Arabidopsis thaliana: one gene and its partners. The protein of the gene in region 3 interacts with the protein of the main gene of each other region in a pairwise test. Each region holds a gene or a part of one and is shown on either strand. Other genes may lie near its edges.

Evidence for each region.
Region 1: the proteins of LUH (region 3) and AT1G05805 interact in binary tests that used the Arabidopsis thaliana proteins (3 or more experiments, as listed by UniProt).
Region 2: the proteins of LUH (region 3) and SLK1 interact in a two-hybrid assay, tested with the Arabidopsis thaliana proteins (one study listed by BioGRID).
Region 4: the proteins of LUH (region 3) and HTB2 interact in a two-hybrid assay, tested with the Arabidopsis thaliana proteins (one study listed by BioGRID).

Annotation. Positions count from the first base shown.
Region 1 is NC_003070.9:1,742,818-1,748,243, reverse strand, and holds AT1G05805 (basic helix-loop-helix (bHLH) DNA-binding superfamily protein), read right to left. Parts: upstream 3,801-5,426; 5' UTR 3,402-3,800; coding exon 2,927-3,401; intron 2,035-2,926; coding exon 1,742-2,034; intron 1,484-1,741; coding exon 1,355-1,483; intron 1,209-1,354; coding exon 1,143-1,208; intron 1,052-1,142; coding exon 983-1,051; intron 874-982; coding exon 817-873; 3' UTR 510-816; downstream 1-509.
Region 2 is NC_003075.7:13,031,647-13,038,426, reverse strand, and holds SLK1 (SEUSS-like 1), read left to right. Parts: upstream 1-1,955; 5' UTR 1,956-2,316; exon of another isoform or gene 2,317-2,523; 5' UTR 2,524-2,623; coding exon 2,624-3,238; intron 3,239-3,314; coding exon 3,315-3,446; intron 3,447-3,611; coding exon 3,612-3,660; intron 3,661-3,820; coding exon 3,821-4,035; intron 4,036-4,136; coding exon 4,137-4,205; intron 4,206-4,466; coding exon 4,467-4,567; intron 4,568-4,659; coding exon 4,660-4,753; intron 4,754-4,835; coding exon 4,836-4,905; intron 4,906-5,075; coding exon 5,076-5,977; 3' UTR 5,978-6,270; downstream 6,271-6,780. UniProt on the Arabidopsis thaliana protein: Probable transcription regulator that functions in the development of the carpel margin meristem similarly to SEUSS (SEU).
Region 3 is NC_003071.7:13,864,802-13,872,694, reverse strand, and holds LUH (LEUNIG-like protein), read right to left. Parts: upstream 5,924-7,893; 5' UTR 5,769-5,923; exon of another isoform or gene 5,656-5,768; 5' UTR 5,567-5,655; intron 5,484-5,566; 5' UTR 5,461-5,483; coding exon 5,429-5,460; intron 5,355-5,428; coding exon 5,257-5,354; intron 5,170-5,256; coding exon 5,060-5,169; intron 4,979-5,059; coding exon 4,698-4,978; intron 4,603-4,697; coding exon 4,524-4,602; intron 4,421-4,523; coding exon 4,252-4,420; intron 4,064-4,251; coding exon 4,014-4,063; intron 3,929-4,013; coding exon 3,650-3,928; intron 3,179-3,649; coding exon 3,104-3,178; intron 2,985-3,103; coding exon 2,757-2,984; intron 2,579-2,756; coding exon 2,434-2,578; intron 2,353-2,433; coding exon 2,243-2,352; intron 2,102-2,242; coding exon 1,952-2,101; intron 1,870-1,951; coding exon 1,717-1,869; intron 1,641-1,716; coding exon 1,521-1,640; intron 1,320-1,520; coding exon 1,122-1,319; intron 995-1,121; coding exon 851-994; 3' UTR 538-850; and 1 more. UniProt on the Arabidopsis thaliana protein: Transcription repressor subunit of the SEU-SLK1 and SEU-SLK2 transcriptional corepressor of abiotic stress (e.g. salt and osmotic stress) response genes, by means of an epigenetic process involving histone modification (e.g.
Region 4 is NC_003076.8:7,651,351-7,654,492, forward strand, and holds HTB2 (histone B2), read right to left. Parts: upstream 1,365-3,142; 5' UTR 1,218-1,364; coding exon 780-1,217; 3' UTR 518-779; downstream 1-517. Other genes in the region: AT5G22875 (uncharacterized protein), read left to right, coding at 1-39, 127-253; AT5G22890 (C2H2 and C2HC zinc fingers superfamily protein), read right to left, coding at 2,191-3,142. UniProt on the Arabidopsis thaliana protein: Core component of nucleosome. Nucleosomes wrap and compact DNA into chromatin, limiting DNA accessibility to the cellular machineries which require DNA as a template.

The DNA of each region.
Region 1 (5,426 bases), on a different chromosome or scaffold from region 3:
AGTTTTAATTTACGACTTTTCCCTGATTTGTGTTTTTGGTTAGTTATTTTAAAATCCACCACGTTGGTGGACTTCTTGGTAACGTAGGAGGGAGTTATATTTTTTTAACTTACAAAACCAAAGTGTATGTATAACTAAAGAAATTTCATCTCTAATAAAGAATAAATCTTTCTCTGTAACGTGCATACACGCTAGTTTTGTTAATAATAGGAAAGTTAATGCTACTAATAGTATTCCGGTTCATACATTTTATGCCAATTTTCATATCAACCTATATCTATTTGCATGTTTCTAACTACTACTAAATATATCATAATTCATTATATGATCAACGAGATTCACTTTGGTCTTTGGTACGTGAATTCTGCTTATTAATGTTTTCATTGGTTCAAGTAACTTTGGTATTTGGTCCATTTCTTCAATTTTAAAAATAAGAAAAATTAGCGTACCTTTAATTTCAATATTCAATTCAGGAACTATTTATGAAGAAGTATAAAGAAAAGAGAGATCAAATTAGAAAGTCATATATATAATGGATGCTAGCTTGCTTTGCTTATGATCATAACTCGAATTAGTTTCAGAATTCATAGCATAATCCTTACAAAATAGGCGACACTCAAAACATAAACTTGAAACAAAAACATAATGGACAATTGTCACTGTTCTATCTTATAATGATAACGAATGAGGAGCTTAATTATAAGAGGATTAGACATTTAATATAATCTATTTTATTTACATCTTCTCTAATTCTCTCATATGATAAAATCGGAACAATGCAAATAAAATTAGGATGACCCTACCTTTGGGTTTGAGCTAGCTTGGTTTCTCACTGCACCCACACGTGCAATTCTCTTGATCTTTTTTCAAATTCTGCGTTTGTATATGAAAATGTGTTTATGTATCAATATGGATCATGAACTAGAGAGAACTCTGGAAATGGATTCAGCTGACCTAAACAGAAAAAGTAAGATAAGGGAACCTGAAGTTGATGCTGAAGGCCTTTGATGTGTTGTACAGCTAAATCCAGCATGTCTGAATAGCTTGTTTGCTAAGAAAATCAGCAACAAGTGTGTGAGGTAATGAACACTTTTTCAAAATGATGTTACCATATATACTATATATATTTGATATAAAGTAACCTTATCCATGTTGGGGACAAGATCTTGTAGCTTCTTTAGCTTCCCACTTATTCTCGTTCTCCTCTCCTATAATATAAACATATTGTATAGGTTAAGATAGGAGGATGGCAAAAAGAATAGGGTCTACATGATTAGGGACGATCAAATTTGTTGCTAAATTTAGTGAATTAATTATCCATCGCTAAATAAATTAAAAAGTGTTTATAACTGACCCGCTCAGCGATGCTTCTAGGATGGGTGGCGCAGCCGCGTTTGGCCCGGATTTTGCAGGGTACAGAATCTTCTGGAAGCTGCATGAAGTTATCCATGTAGTTCATTGAAGTGTCTGAAGGAAGACTATACTGCAAAACCAGTGATAAAAATATTCGGTAAGAATTGGCCACCAACAAAAATGTATGGCCACTAAAGAGTTTTGCTGCATTTACCTTTACTAGTTAATTTTTTTTTTTATGTCTATCCTAAAACAAATATTTTACATTTTTTTGTCCTTTTCTAGAAATTTTGAAATTTCATATAATTTGACTAAAGTAGCATGTTTATAGTAATAACACATGAAGAAAAAAAAAAAGGAATCCCACATGGAAACAAATAAATTGTACCTGCGAAAAGAGACCAGAGTCCATGTCCTTGGATCGTTTACTGGGCCTAGTCACGGTAAACCCTATCGAACCGGAACCGTCATCCCAAGAATCAGTAGTGGCTGCACCAAAGCTAGCCGCAGAAAACGAATGGCCTGAACCGTCGTGGACTGGGGTCTCATTGACCTCGTTGATCCGAGCCAGAGAGTCGTGATTCGTGAAGCTTAGCTGAGACTTCAATCTGGAATGTCCTCGTCCCCCATTAGACCCTCCTTGCGGACTATAATCACTGGTTGGTTGGTTCAACGAGAAATCTGATTTACAAAGTAAACTATATTATAATGACATTACGTGAAAATTATTTTTAAAAATAATTCACATTCACATCCAAAATATTAGAAACCATATAATGTAAGTAAATAAAGAGGGATTTTTGGATAATATGGATAGTTGAATTCCGGTTCAGGCCGGTGACCGGTTAGGTGTGGGAAGTCACATCCAGGCTTGGTGGAAGATATTATGATTAGATAACAACGAAGCAAAGCACGAATCATCAGGACCAAGGAAAAAATAATATAAAAGTGGACAGATCAGATCCACCAACTAGATCTACATCGCTTTCTATTTGAATAATCTTCATCACAACCAATGATATTTCGCCATCTCAGCAGAGAAACTATTGGTCATCAACGAAAAAATCCATCCTCTAAATAAATAAATGCAACTTGAGATATAGGAATCCTCGAAGATTTAAATAATATCCCAAATTAAGGGTAACCGAGCCACATTTTTGCTGTATTTTCAAGCACGTGGTTAGGGATCAAATGGTATTTTCGTCATTCCGAAAATACGAGGATCACGTCTTGCACAAGTACCAACCAAGCTAATTTAGCAACGACCCTAAATATCAAAGCTCACAATGTCAACTTATTTTATATACATAGTCGTTAATTAACTTGTAAGAAACTAGATACTTCACAGTGAGAAATACCGAAAATACCCTCGTGGTTAGATTTTCATTTCACCAAAAAACGGATCTTTAGTTGAGCAATGAATGATTGAATGACTGAAAACTATATAGCTCATATTCTACATTACGATTTTTGGCAAATTCTAAGGAAAAATGGTCTGAAAATGAGTAAACTTGTCTGTCTAAATATATATATCTCATCACAGTTACTATTCTTGAGTAAAAAAAGGACTAACTGTTTTTATCTGAGGCGAGGTAGGTGAAGAAATCGGCGGGAGAGCTACGTTGTCTAGCGAGAGAGTAAGATCCTGAGCTGTTTCCTCCTCCGATGTCGTTGCTCTTGTGTTGTTGCGAGATCTCGTTGAATCCACCGTAGGATCTGTCGAGGAAGATATCTTTATTACTATTATTATTATTGTTATTGCCTAGCTGTTTCTGTCCGTCGGATGAGTTGTTGACTCCACAAGTCGTCGAATCGGATCTCAGCGAGGATGAGTCAGCAGCTCCGGTGAAAAAGTTACCGATGAAGTTATCCGACGACGGTTGATAGCCGGTGAAGTCACGAGCGTTTGATGAGCCTCCTCCGATGACTTCGTCAACCACAGAGTTTAGAAACGATCCCGGAGCTGAGCCGTAACGGATCAGTCCTCCGCCGCCGGGAAGCGATGATCTCTGCGATGATGATGACGTGGAGGATGATGATTGGTACATGACTTCTTCTATCGCCAAATGGAGAGAGAGAAATCTGAAAAGTTTGGTTTCTAAAAGAAAAATAAAAGATGAGAGAGAGATGATGCTTTTGTTTATGGGGTAACAAAAAGTCTTCACTTTTCAGCGATTGGCTATTCGTTGGATGTCACATGTGTCTCACGTGATCTTCCGAAAGATATGGTATTAAATTTAAACCGAAATAAGCCAATCAAAAACCTTTATTAATACTTATTTATTTTGTAACGAGTCAGCTTAACCTTTGGGCTTTGGGGCCGCGAATATGTGGGCTGGGCTTGATAAAAAGATAAGCAACATTTGCGATGTCTTTGATTAAGTTTAAATTTCCCAAGATGTTGAGGTTTTCAGTGGAATGCAATTATTTTTCTCTAGTGTATATAACTCACATTGTTAATTTAAAGATTTCAAGATCACAGAAATGTTAAAGGTAAAAATTAAAATGATTCGATAAAATTCGACTTAATTGCTTAATAGTAAATTGAACAAACATAAATGCTTATATCAAATGCATGGTTCATCAATACTTTTTTGACGCAAACCTTTTTCCGATTGTAATTCAAAATAGTTCTGTTAATTTTTACCTAAACAATTAATATTGTTGTTATTATTATAAATAGAGCCCACAAATATGGACGTTTCCTCTTTCACCAGTTATTTTCAAATTTTCACAATAGTATATGAACTTCCACAAATGGAAAGAAGTAAAATTAAACGAGAACTCATCTTGTCTGAATTATATATCCATAAATTGGTGTGTAAAATGGAGTCGTAATTAAGATGCGTACGGATAATTAGCTACGACTGTGACATGCAAAATAAAATAAACGTTTTTCTGAAGAGTGAAACACATCTGATGCGCATGCAGGAATGATACACACATTGGTCTCCAAACGTACGTGTTTTTCTAGCCCCACCCTTATTGACCCCATGTGATTCGTAAGAAATCGAAGCTGAAATTCAAATTAGTTACTGTTCTAATTGTTATATATGTCTTTATTTTTATTGTCGAATGATGTGATCTGTAACCAAACTTCCAAATTCAAGTTGAATTATTTTCTTTCTTTCTTTTTCAACAAAACCTCTCGTGAACAGAGAATCCACATCGTGAACAAAACCTTTTTTCGGTTTTATGTTATATATAGAATAAGCTAGTGCATATATTTATAGATGAAAGCTTCCAAATGAGAAATTAAAAAGTTAAAAAAAGACCCTCGCATAACACGAGAAGGGACACATTTACAAATAAAAATGGGAAATATAGATAAAGATTGCATGTATTAATTAATATCTCAGTGAGTTTATTAACATTAAACCAAAAAAAAAAAAATATCTCAGTGAAAAAATAAATATAATTTAATATCTCCGTGAGTAATATAAAGACTCCGAAAGAAAAAGAGAGTATATGGAACTATTGCTGACGTTGTCTTTGACAAATAACATAGACAAATTGTATATATATTCGATGATTAAATTTGAGCATATAAATAACTTTATATATGAACTTTGATCATTTAGAACAAAAAATCAAAATATAAATTATACACTGTAACGATGTTGAAGATTTGACAAATGATTCTTATTGTTTTTTTTTTTTTTTTTTGCTAAATATGATTTCTTATTGTTCATTTTTAATCTTACAGGTTATAATGACGTTGAAGTTTTGACAAATGGCTTTGTCTTTGGCCATTATTTATATTTATAATCTAATACGTTGGTACCTCACGTCACTTCTACTATAATAATATACAATAACCAATTAACCATAACAAATTAATAATAGATGTCTGTTTTTATAACTAATAAAACAAAAAAAAATACATCTATCGATTAGGACTAATGGACTATAATATAAAAAGATACACAACAATGCTAATATGTACACGCCTGATATTGGATGATGTCCCTTTTTTTCATTCACAATTTTGAGTTCTTGTACTTCATCAACAGTTGAGAGCTTTAACCTAAAGAAAAGTATTATATTGTGAACTCATAGTAACTAAGAGAAGA
Region 2 (6,780 bases), on a different chromosome or scaffold from region 3:
AAAAGCAACCTTAAACAACCAAATAGCACTTGGACCAATGGCGAAAAGCAAAAACCCTAGAGCGGCGCTCGTATGAATGTTGAATGGGATAAGGTATATATGAGATTCTCGACGGAAAGATGTATGGGCTTCGATAAAGAATATATGAGATTCTCGACGGAAAGATGTATGGGCTTCGGCCCATAACTCTTTGATATTAGTATAGAACCATAACAAAAGAAAAAAAAAAAACCTTAAACAAGTAAACACTAAACCCAATTGATTCTTTACTAAATTTAGTAATCAATGGTTATTGTGAAATGAAATTTAACTTTTCTTTCATATGAAAAAAAAAATTGAAACCATCCATGGATGGCCTAGTTTTATTTAGATAACTAAATATCTATGTTTTGAAATAGTAATCTATTACATGACACAAGAACGAAGATTAACTAAATCGAGAAAGAAAAAAAAGTGTAGATTTGGTAGACGCTGAATATATAAAAAAACTAAAGTGATAAAACAAATTGTCTTTTTAAAAAAGTATGGAATTTTCAAATTTCCCATTCTTTCGGTATATGATGAGAACCTTCACATGGATTTTATTTTTAACAACAAAAATCAATGTTGAAAAGTGTATGTACCTATGAAACAAAATCAGGGTCTTAACTAGTTTTTTGTTTTGGTTTTGGTTTTAATCTTTTCTAGTTGCTTTGCCTTATTTATAAGCGCAGATGAGGAAGAGAAAGGCGAAGGCACATCAGCTGCATGGGACGTTGCTGAAGCTGTGGCGCTCTCATTGTGTGATATCTTCAATCTCTGTTAATAGCTTTGTAATGGTGGTAACAATCCAAAAATACCCAATTACAATCTTATAAGTACCAATCATCATCCATCCTATGGTTTTTCTTTTTTAAACAAAATCCGATATAAAATTAATAAAAATCTATTGTATTAACACTAAAGGTCTATTTACGAAAATTTATAGTTACAATGATATGAAATGATAGAAAAAATGAAAGATTATAAAATTGTATTGACCGAAAAAAGAAGTTTAATATATATATATATATATAGGGATACTCATTAGAAAATCTATATGCTTAGTGAAAAATGACTCCTTCCCATAATATTAAAAACAGATAAACGAAATTGTTAACTAAATTTATTCAACAATAATAAACTTTTAACAATGACAGGTCACACTTTAAATGGAAATATGCATTGATAGACTTTCTCGGTTGAAGTTGTAACTCTAGATTTATTTTTGTAGAATTTAAAGATGTATTTTGTTCCTTTTGTTGTGAGCTATGAAATTAATACCTTATAATTGTAGGTTTTAGGAAGCGGTTGATGTATAGCATGTGCAGAGTAAGCTCGAAATGGCTGAGACGAAAAAAAGTGTCGCCACAATGATTTACTTTTTACTACTATACTTTTGATCATTGGGACCTAATGGATGAATGTTGTGTGTTGTGGACGAGTTTATGACACATAACAATATTGTAGACAAATTGTCTAATTTGAGTAGAGATACTAAAATTTATCTCCATATAATTGTATACTGTATATGTATAACAAATAATTCAATTCATTGGCCTAAGATGTTTTATTGTATCTTTGTAGAATTTTACACTTTAGAGAAAAATCATTGCAATAACTCGATGAAAAAAAATGTTTATCTTATCCTAGTTACAACTAACTATCTATCTATCTCTTTGTGGTAGGAGATTTGCATCTGATCGAACGATTCATATGGTGCCACGTAACTATGGTCCCACTTCTATTACGAGATCTACTAAGACATCAGCACGTGTCGGTGTCGTTTGATCCACGAGGTCGGTGACGCTTAGAGCTAGTTGACCGGTACAGTCGGTTATTACCGGTTATACTATATGTATGTTTTTTGGTCAAAGATTTGGAGCTATTTTATAGTTAATAAATCAAGAGTTTTTTTTTTCCACAACTAGGTCTTAATTTGTGATTGTTTTTTTCTTCCATTTTTCCAAAATTCTCTTATCAATTTCAGGTTAGTATTTTTGTTACTGTCCCTAGCTTTTGACTATTGTACTACTGTATACCCTTTTTTTTTGGCTTGAGAAATTAGATTTTGTTATGTTTGCGTAAAATATTTGTGAACTCAAAAATAAAATCTCTTTTTTTTTCATTGCCGATATTTTTTCTTCCATGAATGCTGCTGTAAAGTATTAATTTCCCTCTCTACTGAGTTTCTTCCAAATTTCTGATTTTTGGGATTTGTGCAACTCCCAAGTCGATTTCAGTTTCTGGGTTTTGATTTGAGTTCGCCGATTGGATTTGAAGTTTTAGTCTTTGTTGGTAAGTTCTATCCTTTTTGAGATGTTGAATTTGCTCTTCTGATAATTAGGGCTTCTGATTATTAGCCTACCAATCTTTGATTTGGTTTTCATTTCCTTCAGCTAAATATTTGTAATTCTTGGATCCTGAATGATTAACCATCTTAGTTTGATTGGTGAAAGTATACCATAGCTGCTTAGGATCCGTTTGGCTTTGTTATTTGCTCAGATTCTGAAAGGAAGGGTTTAAAGTTTCAAGCTTTTCATTCCGCTGAATCAGTCCTTGTATTTGGACGGCTTGATCTGTTATCTGCTCTCGTGGGTGGGGCATGAACAGAACGGTGGTCTCGGGAGCTGTTGAATCGAGTTTCTCATTGACTGATGCTGTTGGCACGGAAGCTCTAAATATGCAGAGGAGCAGTGGCATCAATAATAATATGCGTATCCCAACATCACCGATGTCTTTCTCCTCGAATAGCGTTAACATACCGGGTTCATTGGTTCTTGATGGCTCTGCTGCTTCAATGCAACACTTACCTCAGCAGCAGCAGCAGCAACTACTACAACAGCAAACAGGACAAGGTTCTGTTCCAATGAGGGAGAACAATTATTCCCATGTGGATAAGAAACCCAGATTAGAAGTGAAGCAAGAAGATATGTTGCAGCAGCAGATTTTACAGCAGTTGATCCAGCGTCAGGACCCCACGGGGAGGAATCCGCAGATGCAAGCTTTGCTTCAGCAGCAGAGACTGAGGCAACATCAGCAGATGCTTCAATCCATGTCACCCTCTCAGAGACTCCAACTTCAGCAACAGCAGCAGCTGAGACAGCAGTTACAGCAACAAGGAACCCAACAGATTCCTCCTAATGTACGTCCTTATGAAGTTGGCGTCTGTGCTCGGAAATTGATGATGTACTTGTATCATCTGCAGCAACGGCCTGCTGTAAGCTAATCCTAACCTATGGACTTCCAGTTATTTCATCACATCTATGCACCCATCGCTGATACCTCTTTTCTAGGAAAATTGCATTACCTATTGGAGGAAATTTGTGGCAGAATACTTTTCACCTCGTGCAAAGCAGAGATTGTGCTTGTCACAGTACGAAAGTGCTGGGCACCATGCGCTTGGCATGTTCCCACAGGCAGCTCCGGTCAGTTTATTTTTAGCTCTGGGTGTTTTGATTTTTTATGATATCAGTGTTCTGCATCCCTGTATCTTTAGCCATACACACGGTTTCTCCACCTGTACTATTTATGAATTTCACTTCATTGATTTCTCAATTGATAAGTCCATCATCTTCTCATTGTGTTTGCAGGATATGTGGCAGTGTGATCTTTGCGGCACCAAGTCTGGAAAGGGATTTGGTAAGTTAGTTGCAAATTTCATTCTTGTGTGTACTTATATATCTGTGCCTTCACTTGAGCACAATGAAGCAACTTACACATGCTAATTGGTCTCTTTTTATTGTTTATAACTATTAAGTCAAAATAGTAGCTAACTGTCACTTCTCGTGTTAATCCGCAGAGGCAACGTTTGATGTGCTTGCCAGACTAATTGAAATCAAATTTGCAAGTGGTATTATTGATGAGCTGTTATATCTGGATCACCCTCGAGAAAACAGATTTCCCAATGGACTGATGATGTTAGAATATAGAAAAGCAGTTCAGGAAACTGTACACGAGCAGTTTCGTGTTGTCCGTGAGGGCCATCTTCGCATCATATTTTCTCAAGATTTGAAGGTATCTAGAACAATTCTCTGGTTCCAAATTGTGTAAAGCGATGAAAAAATCAGGCACCAGTATGCTAATGCTTAGTTAATCTTGACTTTGCTTCTATCTAGATACTTTCTTGGGAGTTTTGCGCTCGGCGTCATGAAGAGCTTCTTCTTCGCAGACTTATTGCTCCACAGGTATTCTAATGGCACGACCCTTGCGTTTATTAATTGGAACTTAAGACTTTACATAAAATGTTTGTGGTCAACTGTATGACTTTGTTTCCTTAAACCCTTGTTATGAAATTGAGGATAGCTAATACCCGGTTTCTGTGTAGCTTATCTTCTGGTTTCCTATGAATAGAGCACAAAGTCTGTTATTTTACTTCAGAACAGATGTTTACAGATGCTGCAACGGTGCTAAGAAGTGTACTAAAATCTTATTTATTGGTCATGCAGGTGAACCAATTGCTTCAGGTTGCACAGAAATGCCAGAGCACGATCTCAGAGAGTGGGTCAGAGGGGGTTTCTCAGCAGGATTTACAGTCAAATAGTAACATGTAAGTTAATGCACATTATTCTTTTATTGTCGATACTCTGGCATTTGTTTCTAGTGCTTTTTATCATTGCTGGGTGCCATTTTGTGTATCAGGGTCTTGGGAGCAGGACGGCAACTGGCAAAGTTCATGGAACTACAGTCGCTGAATGATCTTGGCTATCCAAAAAGATATATCAGGACTCTGCAGGTATTCCTTTGCTCCTTTCCTTACTGTTACTGTTGTATATGAAGTCGTAAGAAGTCCTAATATTGAGGCATGCGAGTGACAGATATCTGAAGTTGTCAAGAGCATGAAGGATCTGATGAATTTCACTGGCGAGCAAAAAATCGGTCCTATTGGTAAGTATACAATTTCCATCCACAATATTCTTCTTGAATGAGATCCAAAACCAGGTTTCCCCTCTGGTGCACCTTTTACTTGAAATATGTACTGGTCGTTGTAACTCTCCTGGTGAAAATGTTCTGACTGAATCTGAATGTTATGATACCTGCTTATGTCATTTATGTAGAGGGGTTGAAACGGCTTTTGGAACAGACGGTGACAGTGAAGCTACAGAAACAGAAAATGCAAGAGATGGAGCAGTTTGGGAATAATGGAGCTATAAATGGGCCAGTTCAAGCTCAAATGGTGTTAACTTCAGGAACGATGAATGGCTCAACGGGCAATAACACCAATAATCACCATCAAATTGTTGGTCGTGGAGCTATGAGTGGGCCAGCTGAAGGTCAAATGGTGATATCTTCAGGAACGGTGAGCGGCGCAACTGCCAACAACAACTCCAATAATCACAATCAAATTGTTGGTCGTGGAGCTATGAATGGCTCTGCTCAAGCCGCAGCAGCTCTGACCAACTACCAAAGCATGCTTATGAGGCAAAATGCTATGAATAACCCAAACTCAAATACGGGTAAACAAGAGGGGTTCTCGAGTCAGAACCCAACCCCAAACTCAAACCAGAGTCCATCTTCTTCATCCCAGCAGAGGCATAACTTAGTTACAGGTGGATTTCCCAACTCTCCTCAAATGCAACAGCAGCAGCGCACCATGAATGGCCCTACCAACATACTTCCGCAGAATCATCCTCATCAGTTACAATCACCACATTCACATGGTAACACTCCGGAGCAGCAGATGCTTCATCAGCTGTTGCAGGAGATGTCTGAAAATGGAGGGAGTGTGCAACAGCAACAAGCCTTTTCGGGTCAAAGTGGTAGCAACAGTAACGCAGAGAGAAACACAACTGCCTCTACTTCCAACATCTCAGGAGGAGGCCGAGCTCCAAGTCGAAACAACAGTTTTAAAGCAGCCTCGAACAACAACCTTCATTTTTCAGAAGATATATCGATCACAGACCATGATTTCTCAGAAGATGGCTTCTTCAACAACAATGATATCTATGGTGGCTTGTAATATTCCCACAGAACGCAGGCATTGTTACTTTGACTTAACACAGTGAAAGAGAATTTAGGGCTTATTTTTCTCATTTAGGTTGGTCTTTGTATAGAAACCAAAGAGATATGAGGCCGGCCAATGAAGGAATTTGTGATTTGTTGTAACTTATCTATAGGAACTTTTAAGCATCTTCATTTCCCCTTTTAGAGATAGTAAGATTAAATCTTAGATAACTTCTGCAGACACTTTCAAGTAATCTTATTTAGTTTTATGCTTTTACTTTGATAACAGTTTGTTTATATAAAGGCTTCTTGAGTCACTCCTTTTACGGTTTGCACATAGTAATAATACTATGGTCTCGATTTAGCTTTGAAACCAAATGATTTAGCAGATACTGGATTAAAAGACTTGTACCAAAAAATTTGCGAATAACCAAAGTAAAACTCTTTGGTTTTGTTGATTTGACGTTATGGATATCAAAATATAAGGAATCTCTTTTGAACACACAATGGTAAGTAGATATGCAAATATAGAACTCAGATTAAGATGTTTACTGGCATATATCAGAGGGTTCATTTTTTTGTTAAAGATAAGAAAACAAAACATACAAGTAAGATGCTTAAGGAAAAATGTAAACAAATATTACTATTTGAAATCCGTTAAAGGATGAGCAACTTAAGATGCTTTTCTATTAACAGATCGTTATCAAAGTAAAAGCAAAAACAAAGAATATGATTACTTCATAGTGTGTTAGCAGAAATCATAATCTAAGATTTCACCCCACTATCACTAAAAGGGCAGAGAAACAAAAAACAAAAACA
Region 3 (7,893 bases):
TAACTTAAATTAATGATTCATTCAACCACTCAACTGTTACAAAAAATAAGTTCATGTTTAAGAAAAAAGTACATTTATTTTAGACCAAAAAAAAAAAAGTACATTTATTTTAGTTTTTCCAAGTTAGACGTGTTTGTAAATTGTAAACAAACACAAACGTAACCGTGCTTTTTACTTCTCCTTATGTTTCACATTTCCGTTTTCTATATATAATATCGAGTTTTTCTTTTTTTTTGAGTTGAAAGTTAAATTTATTCAAACCCAAAAAAACTATTTTTACAATAAATGTTACAGTGATGCTGAAACAAATAATTTTGAAAGAGAGGCAGAGTCATTCAAGAAAGATGCGGTTATATTAGAAGTTCAATAAGTAACCCAGAACAAAGACAATTTAAGCCTAAGCAGATAATAAACTCATCCTTAATCCTAAGTTTTAACGTACGAGTACTTTCAATGTGCATGCTTAGAGTTTTGTATTCATCTTAAACCAACTTAATGTATGCAGTGTCATTATAAGATATTCGTAAAGAGACCTTAAAAACAAGCGTTTGGCTGATTATAAGAAATTATTATTCAACAATGTAGTTGGTCTAGAGAAATTACTTACATCTCTCTTTCACTCTAAACACTAGAGATCAAAACAACGAAGTAAAGAAGTAGGATCATTAGACAAAGATTGGAAATATCACAAGTCTCTTTGCTTTTGACATAAACAAACCCAATTTAAAAAAAAAACCAACTTATTAATGTAACATTAAAAAAAAAAAAAAAATTAGACCCAAAAAAAGTCCTGAGCTCTCTGCTATTTCTTCTTTTTTCCTTTTCTTTTCAGACGAACATAGAAATATTTCTACTTCCAAATCTTTACGGATTTGTCATGACTTGCAGACGCAACCACTCCCGTCGAAGGCGACTGAGCCAAGGCAGAGATCACACACTCGTGGCCTGCTACCGTCATACATTTGTTCTCCATTGTGTTCCACAGCTCTATAGCCTGTCACAGATTCGTTTACCAAAGTTAAAACAACTGAGAGACACATTCACCTCATCACACATTTGAACATAAGACTAGATATTGTTTGACACATTATTTGTTTGAGAAATGGGGATATAGGTTATACCTGATAGCCACCGATGACCAAGAGATCGGGATAGCTAGGGTGAAAAACAACAGAGTGGAACTTGTTTCCACTGTTGCTAAGCTCGTGGATGCAATCTCCTGAACTCAGTGACCATAATTTTACAGCGTCTTCACTAACAGACGCCACCAACTCTCCGTTTGGGCTCCAACAAACAGAATGTACATTTGAGGAATGTCCCTGCCAGATCAAAAGTAAATAAAGCCATGAGTAACGATCAACACTTACGACATCTAAACATATGCCCCAATGCATCTAACAAGAAAAATGCACTGGACTTTGAAGATTCAAAGTATTAAAAGTAAAAAACAAAGCTTTTAGTCTTTTATGTGGATTGACCCGGGGAATTCAAAAATATCAATATATCATCTTCAGCTCTACCTTAAAAATGTTGACCCGTTTGTTATTATTTTCAATATCAAAAATTGACACAGTATTTTCTGACGCTGCAGCTAAAAACTGTCCTGTTCTTGGCTGGAAACGTACTTGCGTGCTAGCCCCCTGTGCTTGGAAAATTCAACGATTAGCAAACAGAGTTCACATCCCAGAGAAACCATACAAAAGGTCAGGGGCTTGCCTTTACAGCACGAACGCAAGAGGCGTTTATGTCCCAAAAGCGAATATCATTGTTGCTATCACAGGAGCATAAAAGCTCGGTTTTCTTAGGATGAAAATCAATGGACATAACAGGTGCAGCATGACCAGAAATTGTTCGTAGGAAGTAACCAGGCTGCACAAATTGGTAGTAGTTAGTCACAGCAGAACACGAAAAATTGCAACAAATAAAAGAGAAACAAATTAAATTAGTATACATCAGAAGCATCCCAGATTTTGATTGTTTTGTCGAATGATGACGTTGCCAGTTGAGTTGAATTCGGTCTGAAGCGAACATCTGTGATGATATGAGCATGTTCTTCCGGAGTGCTCTCAACTTGTAGTGTTTCCATGTTCCATATAAATACCTACTGACAAAAATAAATTTGCATCCACATTATCTGTTTTTAAACAAACAAAATGTTACCTACCTATAAATGATCTATAGCTGTTTTAGGGCCATGACAAGTTTATAAGCAAACCGTATCTCAGAAATTAAGAAGTTGCACCTTCTTATCATGTCCAGCGCTAGCCAACAACTTCCCATCATATGAGAAGCTACAGCAAATGACCTTACTGGCACTTTTTCTTATACAACTAACCTCATTGAAACTGAAAGCTGAAACGAGAAAAAGGACCGTGTTAGTATATATTTATATCGTCTACTTGTATCATACTTATCCTTGGGGTGTTAGAATACGCTTTGAGGTTTCGGTATGCACAGAAGAGTTCCGCTTTAGGGTGCCAAACAAGCTTCCTCCGTCTCCATCATCTTGGGACAAAAATGATTCTACATTATCTTCTAGAGCTCCCACATCTCCAAACTGGTCCATGTCATCCTGCAGCTATTAATTCTTGTCATAAGAAAGCTGAAAGAAACACGGCCCCATGGGATATAAAAAAAATATTCAAGCTGCTAAGAAAGCACTTGTTTCACACAACACAACTGCATGCTGTATCCAGATGTTATTGGAGGAAAACTAGATTGTCGTTATCATTCTTCTGAGAAATTAAGAAACATACCAGTTGATTTGCTGATGATGCAAGACCACCGATCCCATCAGAACCATACATCATTGGCCCTTTTGGCATGCTATTCACATGGTGCATGTTACCAGCTATAGCAACTCCATCAACAGGGGTATGCGTTGACGGAGTCGATGGCTGTGAGTTGGATGGGCCAACAGTGTTTCCTGTCCCTGTGCTGTTAGCAGGACCAGAAGAGGAAGGCCCTTTTCTTTTGCGGTTGTTCTATCAGATACACGAAAAGGAAGTTGTGGCTCAATCATCTCAGACACTAAAGAATATATTCAGTTGGTTAAAACCACATGCTTGATAAGACTTGAGGGATTGGATCCACATAAAAGTACCTGTTGTGATTGCTGGGATAGTAAGTGATCTTGTTGCTGAGAAGAAGATTGCTGTACTGGCGGCATGCTGATATGCTATAGACCAACAAGCAACGGAAAGAGAGAAAATCAGAAGAAAAAAATGTGATTGATAAAATTTTAGCAGTAAAGTCCCCATGTTTGGTAGTAATCAGCTACTAATTGCGGATAAGTTTTCTCTATTATTGGGTTCATGTGGTTAACAAGAAAAAACAAAATTCTGATACCTATGTAGATCTACATTAGGATAACACAAACACATTACCTTACACATTTTCCAAATGGAAAGTATAGCAGTCAGACGATAACCCAAAAGAGTACAATTTTAAAGCATAGACGAGCAATTATCAGAAAAAATGCATAGAAGGACAGACGTAATGATCCAATTACACCACTTAACGGAACACAGAAAAAATGAGATGCTTCATTTTTTCTCTGCTACCCGAAAAAGATGATATAATGCAGCTCAACAGATTCCACTGCATCCAACAGGGATATGCATTTATTGGTAATTTGAGAAAGTCTTACCTTTGACGAACTTGACTGCATGGGGGACCCTATAGATCCATCATTTGCATTTTGTTGGCCATCTTTCGGATTAAGGTTTCCTCTAGGTAATCCTGTAAATCTTCGAGGGTCCATGTCACCACCATACATGGGTGAATTAGTCATATTTCCTTGCGCTTGAACCTGAGCCAACATCTGATGTTGTTGCTGCTGCGGCGAGAGCTGAAATTGACTTTGATTTTGTAGAAAAGATTTCTGAACCTGAGGGCCTCCTAAACCTGGTCGCATCTGCTCGATGCCCTGTAACATTTGTCAAGAAACTTAGCAAAATACTGGGCTTGGAATGACAAACAAATAAATTCTTAGAAGAACCACAGAGACTTACAGTTAATGGCCATCCCTTTAAAGGAAGACCACTCACTCCAGGGTTTAATCCTTCACAAGGGACAAACACAACACCATAAGAATTTATACAAATTGTAAGCAAAAGATTCTCGTGATGCCATTAGCATATCACCCTATGTAATTCATCATGATTTTGCACATAACAGGGAAGTAATATTTAAATTTTGGAGTCCATAGTCAACTAATTGCCATAGAAGGCATACTACCACGTATTTTACCACCATTTTCTTTTCGGTGAGCGATTACTCTACAATGCAATACATTGATATATTTACCTGCACTCCCCATCCCAGGCTTTGATTGCAGAATTCCCTGGCCATAAACTGTAGAAGGATCCACTGGCAGTTGTCTTGGAGATGTACCCAAATTAACTTCAGTTTTGATTTCCTGCACGTACAAGAGATTCAGATGTACACCAAAATATCTGATTGGAGACTTGTCTGTTAGAAAATTTGAACAGTATAAAGTAAGGTGCTCGAGTAGTAGTTACAGTGGGCTGCTGAGTTCGTGATTGAATTTGCTGCAGCGCTGCCGAAACACCTCCTTGATGGTTTCCTTGGACAATCTGACTGTTTAGGGACAGAAAAAAAAAGAAAGGACAACAAGGGGTCAGAGGTATGAGGACTAGAAAAACGACAGCAAAAAAGAAGCTGAGCCAATTTACCCATGATGGTTTGTTGCTGATTTAAGAAGGGCCATCCTTGCATCAAGATGAGGTTGGGATGTCTCAGAATTCATAGGATTAGGCTGCTTCATGCGTTCCTCGTACATTTTAGCAGCCAAAGCACTAGCATTAGACTGCCCAATCATCCCTTCAGAACCAATAGCATTCATTGGACCGCCAAGAGAAGGATGATTAGGGTCCCTACGCTGCATTTGAGCTTGGCGCATCATCTGCAGTTGCTGTATTTGCATTTGCTGCTCCTTCGCTTTACCTTGTTGTGCCTAAAATTTCAAAACCACTGGTCAGTTACGTAATTCAAAACTAACAAAACATATTCCCAGATGTTAGTAGAAGACATTCACCTCTATATAAGCTGCAGCAGCCTCTGAATGCTTCTCATTCGTCCTTGCAATGAAAATGTCCCAAAACACAGACCACCACTCAAAAAGAAACCCTCCAGGTGCATCAATTGCTAATCATTCACACAACAAAAAACAATTACATATCAAAACTTAAAATTAAGAAAGAACAAAGTGGAACAAAGAAAGTGTAATATTACCAACTGGATCAGGAGAAACCTTCCCTTCAGTCATAAACGACTTAGCAGTATTATGAAGTTTCTTCTTCACCAAATAATCATATATGTAAACATCAAGCCTACAAAAACACAAAGATATCAAAGTAAGGAATTGAAAAAAAATAAGCTTTTATTGAATACAAAATTAACTTACATCTTGTCAGCTTCCCAATTACTCTGAGCCATAGCTTCAGCCCAAGATCGAGCTGCTATAAAAGGAATTCAAATCTTCAATCCAAAGAAATGATATGAACTCAGAATAATTCGATTGTTTTAATAAACAGACACTAACCTGAATAAAAGCCCAAACAAATAAATATCAAGTAGATCAGAACCCTAATTCGATCTTCAGATATCAGTAAATTTAAAGATCAAGCATTGCTGCTACACATACAGAGAAAATATAAAGAAATCGACAAGGTTAAATTGCTTATACGCGAACATGACTTTTGGAATTCGTTGAATTGATATAGAAAGTAATCGAATTCACATACCTGACGGATCACAATTGAAAAGGAAAAAAAAGAATCTAGGGTTCTTGAGAGATTACAGTGAATTGTAATCAGCTGTAAGTTAAGAGTAAATCGATCATGAAACAGCTGGAAGAGAGAGATAGATCAGATTGATGAGTTTGGAGAGATCATCGGATGTTTGGTTTGATGCTTAGCTTTAGGATTCGATGAAAAAGTTTATTCATGGGCTTCGATATTTGGACCTAGTTATGGGCTTACTTTTGGGCCTGTGATTGACTTTTAATCTAAAGTCAACTCGAAGGTAGGCCGAAATTTCTCTTGAATCGTTAGAGCAGCCAATTCATGGTTTCTAAACAGAGTGAAAAAATTTATTATAAAAAAAAGTGTAGGTTTTTTTATTAGTAAAGAAATTATTTTCAAAGTACGCAATGCTATGTCAAGATAAATGGTTCATACTTCATGTAGCTACACTCAATAATACATTGGAAAAAATGTCAAAAAAATTGCCAACTTTGAAAAATGGGATGAAAAATCACCAACTCCTGAAATGTCGTTTTAATCACATACTTTTGATTGAGTTCTTTAGAAAGATAACAGAGCAAAGTTTTGTTGATTACGAATCTTTGCTTTATTATCTTTCTGGAAAAGTCAACCAAAAGTATATGATTTAAATGACATTTCAGGAGTTGGCGATTTTTTTGTCCCATTTTTAAAAGTTGGCGATTTTTTTAACATTTTTCCCATAATACATTCATTATTCTACCGTATTTAATCTTCTAGTTATAGCTTACGAATGGTTCAAAATGAAAACTTGCGTCAAATACTAGTTCTTTCTTTTTGGGCAAACTCGTGAAATATGTTTGTATTTTGAGGGTGAGATTTGACCTTATAAACTGATCACTGCATATGTTTTATGAAACTAATTCAAATTCTAAATAGAAAATAAGAACTAATTAAAATCCTTTAACTAGAGGTCTGTAACCAAAAGATTGCATGCATATTCTCAATAGAACCAATCTAATTTTTTTACAAAAAAAAAATGCATAGGATATTCATTTGGCACTTAATTTGAAGTTTTAGTACTTTATGATGTGAAATGAACAATCCACACTTGTAGTGTTATGAAGTATTAAACGTATTTCTTAAATTTCTTACTAACAAGTTAGCCCTAGATTAACTAGTTAAATATTCTTGTTAAGCCTCGTTTTTTTTTCAAATCACTAGTTGACTTTAAAATTTAAGTCCCAACCATTATTCTAACAACAAACAGTCCAAATTAAATAAAAGATTACATTCACAGCTCAAACCAGTCAACCTCAAATTTTTAATAATCTAAATCTATGTGGGTGATGCATGTATAATGTATAAGCCTATCTGTTTTTCTTTATTTGTTAGTTTGGAAAATGAAAGGTTTAATATGTGTTTGGTTTGAGCCATTAATGACATAATAAATGAGATCACTTTTTTTTCACTAAATGAGATCACATTTAGGGCTTGAATAATGCAAAAGAGCCCTCATATTATTAATGGCTTTGTAGTAGACATGTCCTTCAACTATAAAAGGAAAAATAAAACAGCCACGATTATAAACTTTTGTTTTTTTGATAACGACACAATTTATTCATTTATGGTACGTCTTTTATGAAAATACACTAAAAGAGAAACACACTGTTCTTTTTGCTATAAATCCATGGAAGGTTGATTTATGAGGAATCATATACATATGGTGAACTGATGATTGCATTCTACGAATATGATCAGTCTGGTTTTTAGAACATGAACCAATTATTATTATTTGACAAAGTACATGAACCAATTGTAGTATATATTTTCATCAATTTCAGGTTTTTTCACCATCGGCGCCCACTAGAATCGTTTGCTCATTTTCTTAATCGGAAATAAGATATACATTTCATTTCATGTGCATATATATATACATCGATATTATTTATTTATTGAATTCATCAAATGTACATTGATTTCATTTTTATTGTTATGTTGGATGAGATCAACTGGGCAGTTGGCAGACATAAATAAATTGTCCTATGACAGGTGAACCTCATTTAATTTAGTTTACTCAACCAATTTATTTTTTTCGCCTTCTTACAAGTTAATACGTCCGGTTTAATCAATTCCGGTTTCCCAC
Region 4 (3,142 bases), on a different chromosome or scaffold from region 3:
TTTCGCATCTGCAGGCTTAGCTTTCCCCTTTTACATGGCGTAAGCACCCTATTCTATCTCTCAAATGTTATTTTCTCATCTTGTGGTATGACATTTGTTGTTTACTCTGTCTCATTTGGGTTGCAGATCTTCGAAACAACCAGTTATCGATCCAACAAAACCATTACCTCCTCAAGCAACTTTTAGAGGACCTTACATAAACACAGGCTCACGCGATGTTGGACCTGATCATCGAACTTACCCAAAGAAATGATCCAATCAAGTCAAAACAATTACGCAGGTGTTTTCATTGTGAGCTTTGTATTCATAAGATAATATCGTTTTGTAGTTTGTTCTCCAATCCATTTAAGTCGTTGTCCTTCATGTAACACCAGTCCAACTTAACCATTGAATGTAACTGAAGAAACAGATTTATTCCTGCATAAGAACTTGATTTTTGATTGTCTAAAAAGTTTTGAGACTCAAAATCACATAACTTGGACAATACTTCTCAAATCAAAGCTTAGATATATACGCAATGAGAATCACTGTTTCAATTTTTTTTATCTCAGTTAAAGTGGAGCTCTTTAGATTCTAATCAAAATTAACAGATTTGAGAAATTGAGCAATGAAATTGCAATCGAACATTGGAAAATTAAGTAGATTTCATAGCCGTGCCATAAATTAAAACCCTAATTCCCATATTACATAACCCTCAAAGATACCCAAAAGCATAAACCCTATTTCACATTCCAACTACTACTACTACTTCTCCTCCATTACAAAACCACATTCCAAATCTAAGAACTCGTAAACTTCGTAACCGCCTTAGTCCCTTCAGAAACAGCATGTTTCGCCAACTCTCCAGGCAACACAAGTCTCACCGCAGTCTGAATCTCCCTAGAAGTAATCGTCGGCTTCTTGTTGTACCTCGCAAGCTTCGAAGACTCACCAGCAAGTTTCTCAAAGATATCATTGATGAAACTGTTCATGATTCCCATGGCTTTGCTGGAGATTCCGATATCTGGATGAACTTGCTTCAACACCTTGAAGATGTAGATCTTGTATGTCTCAACGTTCTTCTTTGATCTCTTCTTCTTCTTGTCTCCGGCGCCGGCTGGTTCCTTCGGGAGTTTCTTTCCGGCTTTTGGTTTCTTCTCTGCCGCTGCTGCTGGTTCGGCTGCCGGAGTTTTCTCTGCCGGTTTCTTCTCCGCTGGTTTCTTATCTGCCTTCGCCATTTTCAAACTTTTCTAGGGAGTGAGTTTTTTTTGCTGTGATGGTTTTGATTTGATACTGTTATCTTCGAGAATTGTGTGTTTGTTTATATAAGAGAATAGGAAGAGATCTGATTAGTTAAGATACTGAAACGCGGATGCGTGACGTGGAGATATGAGTGCTGTTCGATGAAGGGTTTTGGTGAATGGATGGTTCAGATCTATTTTACTTTAATGCGCGAGTGATTTTAAATTTCTTTTTCGAAATATTGAAAAATTCGAATTTTCTGTTGCGCTTTTTGTTATCCGCCATAAGTTCATGAAGCGGCAAAGAGAGAAAAAGTTTTTGGCGTGGATAGCTGACGTGGTTACTTTTGATCCGTCTACCAATGAACGGCTATGATTTTACCGTATCTACAAAGTTGGTAACAACTTTTTCCTATCTAACATTTTTATGGAAATGAAGAACTAATGCATAATTATAAGTTTTCAACTCTTTCAAAATTCTTCAAAAATAACCAACTTTTTATAGATACAAATTTTGAATTTCTCTAAAATACAAACATTTAGTTCAGCTTAATAAGTTGGACTCATCTTAATAAGTTAATATGTAGTTGTATTTTAACAGAGTTAACGATGTTTCTTATATTTTCTTAAAATTCTGCATGATATATCAATAGATAGTTGTTGATTAATCTGAGAAGTGAGAGACGTATTAAACATAAATTTTGATTCTCACTGATTCCACATATTTCTGAGATTAGTGAAAATCTATGCATGATACCCATCAGAACCAAAATCATTTGTAACATTAACGTTAATGCACAAGTCACTATGATACAAATCTGTATATTATCTTATCTTTGTGACATTAATTTAGAGAATATAGAAACTCGTGAAAAGAAAAAGAACAAAAAAAAGAGAGGGAGTGAATGCACGTGTCATTTCTTGAGATATCGTCTATGAAATCTCTATAGACCTCAAACTTCCTATGTTCTTACTTTAGGGTGATTGTCGGCGGCTTGGACGACCCATGTGCCGGTACGTGGCCCAAAAACAAAGAAACGTGGCTCATCAGCTTGTCTTTCCTAGAAAATTTAGTCCCACAAGAGCAAACCCACTTTATATCCCCACAATGCTTCTCGTGTGTCCTAAGATCAGACAGAACCGAGAAATGCTTCACACTACATCTCCTGCACATATACATTTTGGGACAATGACTCCTCTTGTAATGATTCTTGGCGCAAATCACAGATTTCAACGGTTGAAACTTCTCGTGCCTCTGGTTCCATCTACACCCGTGTTGAGGACAGGAGTAGTAATGTTTCTTTAACGAGTATCCTCCTTTCTTGTCTTGGCTCGTTGGGCTGATCAAGGCCTCACGTGTCTTGTACTCATCCCCGTGCGCTCTCATGTGCATCCTTAGATTAGCGTCTCTCTTAAACCCTTTCCCACAAATCTGGCAGTAATGCGTGTATTTCGCTAGTAGGTCCGCTACGTCTAGCTCCAGTATATCGTAGCTCCCGGAACTTGGTTTAGAACGATGTTTATCTTTTTTAGGGTTTATGGTTTCGGTGTTGTACCAATCAAGATTCTGGTCGGGAAACGAGATCTGCCCTCTTTCTTGGACACCAAAAAGGTTGGTCGACTCTTGCACAAAATCATGACCCGGGTCGGTTTCTTGTCGGGAAAACTCCAAAACCATTGCATCTACGGTTTGATCATTATCGATATCGTTGTTGTTGTTGTTAGATCCGATTTGGAGTTGTTGGCAAGTATATAACATGGATGAAGCAGCCGTGATGATCTCTTGAACCAAACTTCCGATGTTAGCCACGGCCAAAGACGTTGACCCCGAGGATTGGTTAATGTTATTAGTAGATACCATGTAGAAGCTGACCAGAGATTGGATCTGATGGACTTTTTCATGTAAGGTAGATAGATTGTAT